2 linked regions of the Macaca mulatta genome follow. The main gene of each other region encodes a partner of the protein of the gene in region 2 in a complex. Links are inferred from orthologs where the notes say so. Each region holds a gene or a part of one and is shown on either strand. Other genes may lie near its edges.

Region 1 (2,927 bases), on a different chromosome or scaffold from region 2:
AGATTTCAAAATTGCCTAACATTAAAAAATAAGTCTCTTAATTTATTTTCATTCTAAAATAGAGCCCTTCATCCTGAATCCCCTTTTCCATATAAAATGTTACTAAGTCATGTACAGGATTTGTCAAGCCCATATAACATTCCTTTTAAAATCTTAAGTTCAATCACTATTTGTTTTCTACTATTATACTACATTTTGGCAGCAATTGTTTATTGGTCTGTCATTGCAGTAATTGCAACTTAACAATAAACCAGTCTGACATTTTAGGTCTTGAGGATACATACCATATATATTTCTTTAAAAATAATCATACTTTTTGTAAGCAATACTTTACAGTAGACACCTCAAAAATCTACCATAGATGTGAAACTTAAAACGAGAAAAATTTAAGTTCTAAATATTTATACATATATATCCAGATTTCTATATATATTATATATACATACATAAGTATATATAAAATATATATAATCAGATTTCAAAAATGAACAAAAACTGGGCACTGTACATAAAGTCTTTTTAAAACTCAAACAATAGAAAACTCTTTAAACATTAAACAATTTTAATAAAAGTTTCTGTACAATGCTAAGCAGTTTTATTTACACATAGAAAATGTAATAGGAGTAGTGTTTGAAATTACAGAACTCCTTAAAATTTCAATGGCAGGTAAATCTGGAAAAAATAACAGCATTCCATTCACAAATATTTTCAAGCAATAAATATGTATTTATAAATAGTGTAAATTTACATCAAGATTAGAAACAAAAATCACAAATCTGAAGTTTATTCCTTAGTCTATGTGCAATCCATTACCTTTGTGACTTGGCTGTTAATTTTTTTAATGTTTTATTTAGGAACCAAAAGTGTAACCATTATGGTCTCAAAACAAGACAGAAAAACATAAAAGCAGTAAAAAAGTGTCTTACCTAACTTTTCACATTAAAAAAAAGTTGACCAAAGAAAGACTTAAAATTGCTAACTACCTTACAAAGAAATGACCAGCTAGGCTAGTATTTTTTTTCCAAGGAAAATTCTGAAGGGGGAAAAGACAGATGAAAACAAATTCATCAGCCCAGAAATAGAGAAATATAAAAGAGGTTGTCTTCAAGTCAGTAGTCTGTAAGATGTTGCCAGTTTTGTCAGATATATACAAAACATGGAAATTATTATTTTTTTGTGAAGTACAGCTGATCAGCTTTGTGAGAGTCCTGGAGTAGGAACAGTACTCTCTCCCGTCCAGCTGGTTGACACTCCGCACTTGGAAGGTTGCATAGACACAGTTTTCAGCCAGCAGCCTTACGAGATAGCTACAAAAACCAGTGGTGCAGAAGTGGGTTATTTCCTGAATAGCAGAAAAGGTCTCATTTAATGTCCATGGAACAATATCAAGATGAGGCGGATGGTAATGGAGGAGCCTGAAAATAAAAGTAAGGTAGGTTATTTTGATATACAAATTGTTAATAGCTCATGGCTACAAACATATAGTCTGCTTATGAAGTCAGGGGAAATAACTCTCAAAAAGTTCACCAGCCTGCTACACAACATAAAAGTACAACCTACCTTACTATCTCCCATTCAGCCAATTTTCCTAAGAGTCTAAGACCATTATCCTACTCAGCGTACGCAATTTTCTATATTTCTTCACCAATTAGTCAAAAACTCTTGGAATGTTATTAAGTTTACCGTTTCTTAAGATTGCTTAAAAAAAGGGGGGCTTCTTGAAAAATAATTTAACAAGTTACAATTTCACTAGTGACTGTCTTCAGAATCTATCTCAGCTAGGTAATATATTTTCTTCAACATATTCCAGATAATTTTCTTCTTCAAGCAATCTTGAAGACTATTCAAGTGAAAATATCAGAAACTAAATTTCAAAAAGTTTCTGATCACATATGTGTGGGAGACAAGTACTGGAGAAAATCAACAATTCATAAATTATCTCTGTTTCTATTCATAAAGCTATTGATCTGCTAAAGTAAAATGCTTCCCCCAAGCATCTGCTGTCTGAAATTAAAAACTGTGTGCAATTTATAAGTATACTTGAATTTCATAAGGTTATATAACATACCAGGAAGTTAAGCTCCATTAAATATTCCCATGAGGTTAATACTTCTGGCAAGGACAAAATTTTAAACAAATACAATTAGCTCTAAAAGCAGAAGTATATTTAAAAGCACATTTACTGATTCATTTTGTGGGCTCTAATAACCTACGTACACAAACATTTTATCAACTTATCAACTGAGATAAAATGACATAAAGGATATGATAGTGTTCCATCTAAAGCACGTGAAGATTTTTAAATGTAATTGTTGTAAAATTATTTAGGCTGGTCTTACCCAGGAAGAAAACTGAAAATGATATATGCCAATTTTATAGGAATAAATACTTGGAAATGGAGGGGGGAATGATATGAATACACCCTCATGCAATATGTAATGAGCCAAAGGGAAATTTAAAATATTTCATTACCTCCTACTTATCAGGTGGCAGAACAAACACTGCTGCTTCATAACCCAGCTAACTATGTACTCACATGTTGATTTGACTTACTAATGTAAATTGGTCATAGACTTGCATCAGGTCCTCCATTTTGTACTGTTCTAGCACCACAAAGTTTTCCAGGTTTCCGCTTGTTTTTCGTGCACAATCTTGGCAATGTACTATGTAGGTCTTTCGTGAATTACTCTCATTAGTGACAAAAAGCAAATCAAAAACCTCCACCTGTTTTATACAAGAGAAAAACGTATTCAATAGAGATGGTGGTATTCACTGTACTGCTTTAGTATAATCATGGAATTCTACTTGAATGAAATTGTGGACAGTGATCTCTGGTTAAGAGTAAGTGGTAAGAAAAACATGGCTGTGTTTGAGAATCTTTAACAGACCAGGTTTATTTTGCACCAAATCCAAAGACATGGGTAGTA
Region 2 (3,655 bases):
TTTAGGGAATTAGAGGGTTCTTTAGAAGAAGACAGATCCTGCAGTGTGGGAATGACAGATGCTTTTTTGAGGTCCTCCCCAGAAACTACTGGAGGTGTTACTTCCAGATCTGTAAGCCCAGGGGGTTTAATTGTCACATTGGGAGCTCCAGAGTTGTCAAGAAGTTGACTTAACGATGTTGGTGCTTCCCTCATAGCAGGAGACACCAAATTTTTGTTCTCTTCGACACTGGGAAGTTTGTTAGGATCCGAAGGCTGCCCATCCTTTTTGGATTGATCTTCAGGGACAACCATTTTAACTTCTTGGGCAGGGACTGCTTTTAGTTCAATGTTTACCTGTTCCTTCCTACCCTGGGAATTCTGGCAATCACTGTCCTGAGGCACATTCAAGCTCTCCTTGTTATCCTCAACAACACCCCCAACTGCAGCCACAGACACAGTAGGATTCTGAGGATTCAGCCCACTGTTGTTAGGAAAGCTCCCAGGTACAGGGGGATTGGCCAGAGGAGCGGGACTGACCAATACATTTCTCGGCAACTCCACATTCTGCAACAGGGCTGCATTTGTCTGAGAGGCCAGAGTAAGTTTAGGGGCTTTTGAATTTTGCCTCCCGGGGCTTGGAGTGGTTTTCCTACTGGCCCCAGGACTAGACCTGCGACTGTTGCTTGGACTTGCCCGTTTTGTTGCTCCAGAATTAGACTGCTTTCCAGAATTCACTACCACAGAATCTAATTTGTGAGTTTGTGGGGCAGCAAAATTGGAAGGATTCATGGTAAGATTTGAAGGTGCTTGCCCGATGGCCTTCAAAGTTGTTGGATTTAGGCCTTGTTGATCAAAGCCCCTGTTTAAATTTGGCCTAGGAGGTAAAGGAATATTAATCTGTGGAGGGAAGAGTCCTGCTATGGAAGCATTGAGTCTTTCTGGTGACAGACTGATTTCTGAAGGTTCTGTGCTGGGAGGGCGGTTGTTGGGTGTCTGAGGATAATAGGGTCTGGGGCTGGCTCTGTTTGGTGTTTTGGGCCTAGATGTCTGGGTTGGCGCGGCCACATTTGGAAAGTGGTGGCCATGAGAGCTGGGCAGAGAATTTACAGGGGGTTGCTGGGGAGTTGCACCTTGAGTTGCTGAAAGGGGCGATGGTCCAGGTTTTGGCCCTGTCATCATTAACTGATTCTGGGGAAGTACTACATGTGAAGGCATGTTGTTTGGGCCTCCTGGGACAGATGGTGCTTCACTGCCACTTGCTTCAGGGAGCGAGGCCATCTCCGCCAGTGGCGAGCTGGAAGGATTCTGCGGGCTCTCCTGATAGACCATTTTCCTTGAATTGCTTCCCAAAGGAGTATTCACAGGCATTGGCATTCTTTGTTTATCAGGTGATGGTGGCACGGAGGCAGGTCCTTGCAGACTGACCATGACAGGCACACTGCCACTCTGTTGCATGGGCATTCTCTGGGAGTCGGGGTTCAGGGGGGCCCTTGGAGGATGGACACTTTGAGAGACTGGAAGCCTAACTGATTTGGGATCCTGCTGCATCATGAGCATCATCATCATTTGTTGCTGCTGCTGCTGCTGCTGCTGCTGAGACTGTGGCTGACTGGGAGGTGGTGGCTGCTGCTGCTGAGGCAGTTGTGGCTGTGGCTGCTGCTGTGGTGGCTGTGGTGGGGGTGCCACATGCTGCATGAGTTGAGGAGGCATCTGCTGAAGTGGCCTCTGTTCAACTGGTTGAGAAGGATAACCTAAAACAAGCCCCCCAAATCAGGGAAGTTAGATTTTTCAGCAAGAAAATGTTGCTACCTTTAGAGTATAGCCAAGCAATACTCATCTAGGTGGCACAGACTATGCACAAACAGCTCAGGCATGCCCACTCCTGGGGCAGGGGGCAGCCCCTCATTACTTGACATAAGCAAAAGGGGCACAGTGCTTAAGGAAGCAAAAAGCAAAGCATCAAAAAACCTGGAGCTCCTTGGTGTGTAGGGTCTGAATGAGCCATGACTGTACTAAGAGCCTGATTTTCTGTGCTATGCACTGAAAATGGCTGTGTCTATACCAGCCAAACATTCAGATGAAATGAGAAAAACTCCATCAACAGCAAGTGCCTGTCTACCCAAGATTCAGATCTCATGTAGTCATAATCAATATTTCAATGTACTTGTGAATGAAGTAAAGCATTTAGGATTCACTTCTTCTGTTAGCATAGGAATAATTTTTTTAAAGATGTGGTTTTATTGAAAATAACAGCATTGAAGACAGCCTTTTTATTCTTTCAACAGAAGTAAAATATAAAATTCTAGAATTCAGTTCCTTAAGAAAGAGAAATTTAAAATTATTCCAATTCATTGGCTCCATACACTATGCCGCATCCTTCAGGATTAATCCTTTGGGGGAAACCAACTGAATTAAAATTGCCCTTCAGATGTAAATCAGTTTAATAAACAGTAGGAGTTAATGGAAGCTGATATACACATTGAAAATAAAATTAGGGCACTGAAGTTTTTATGGATATTAATTTGCACTTAACTTTCTTACATGCAAATCTCTATTTGGAGAAATATTTTCCATGAATCCACAGTTGGAGAATAAGGAAGGCGGAAGCATAGCCCTCAGGAATAAAAAATAATTCTGGAAAAAGAACCCTGAAGGACAATGTCTTCTAGATATGCAGAGGGCAACATCTCAAATTATTCTCTTTTTTGTGAAGATTTTACTTGGCATTTTAGAACCAAAACCTTACAATCAGAAAAGATAAAAAGTTACACAAACTGGCCAGGCGCGGTGGCTCATGCCTGTAATCCCAGCACTTTGGGAGGCCGAGGCGGGCAGATCACCTGAGGTTAGGAGTTTGAGACCAGCCTGACCAACATGGTGAAACCCCGTCTCTACTAAAAATACAAAATTAGCTGGGCATAGTAGCGCATGCCTGTAATCCCAGCTACTTGGGAGGCTGAGGCAGGAGAATCGCTTGAACCCGGGAGGCAGAGGTTGTGGTGAGCCAAGATTGCGCCACTGCACTCCAGCCTGGGCAACAAGAGCAAAATTCCATTTCAAAAAAAAAAAAAAAAGATACGCAAACCAAGAATAACGGTAGTTCTGTGGGAAAAAGTGGGCATACAGCTGTGCACATGTGGGATACAATTCCAGTTCCACAAACTAGATTTATTCCATTGTTGCATGAAGAGTACATTGGGGAGGTTTTAAGAAGGTGTAGGAATAAGAGCAATTGGCTCTGGCGGTCAAAAGAAATGCTGACTCAACATTTTCATAGAGCAGCTACCAAATTTTGTGGGTCAGACTCAGTACTCAATAGCTAATTAATGTCTTCTGGCCAAAGATTTCCATGGTATCAACAAATACAATGTGTAGAATCCAGTTTTGAAGATTTTTTTAAAAATCCTTTTTTATTTTAGGCCCGAGTACCTTCTTGACCTTTATAAAGCCAATAACAGATGGCATTTCTATGGTTCAATTGTCCTTTAGACTATATAGTCAAATATAGCAGGTTCCTATTTTTCACATTCAGTCTGGGGTTCCCACATTAAGAAAATCATAATTTCTGCAAAAGCCTGTTGATGTCAGGGCTATGACATGGATGCCTTTTATCTTTAAAATCAGCCCACCAGACAGTAAATACCAAAGAGGACAGCATAGACAATACAGCAGCC

The links. Proteins that work in one complex are often made in the same cells at the same time.
Region 1: NCOA6 (region 2) and KDM6A share a complex: the UniProt entries of both Homo sapiens proteins name them as parts of the MLL2/3 complex. The link is inferred for Macaca mulatta from reciprocal best matches to the Homo sapiens genes NCOA6 and KDM6A.

The regions. Positions count from the first base shown.
Region 1 is NC_133426.1:45,077,804-45,080,730, reverse strand, and holds the end of KDM6A (lysine-specific demethylase 6A), read right to left. Parts: intron 2,725-2,927; coding exon 2,554-2,724; intron 1,416-2,553; coding exon 1,386-1,415; 3' UTR 545-1,385; downstream 1-544. UniProt on the Homo sapiens protein: Histone demethylase that specifically demethylates 'Lys-27' of histone H3, thereby playing a central role in histone code. Demethylates trimethylated and dimethylated but not monomethylated H3 'Lys-27'.
Region 2 is NC_133415.1:87,528,841-87,532,495, forward strand, and holds part of NCOA6 (nuclear receptor coactivator 6), read right to left. Parts: intron 1,733-3,655; coding exon 1-1,732. UniProt on the Homo sapiens protein: Nuclear receptor coactivator that directly binds nuclear receptors and stimulates the transcriptional activities in a hormone-dependent fashion. Coactivates expression in an agonist- and AF2-dependent manner.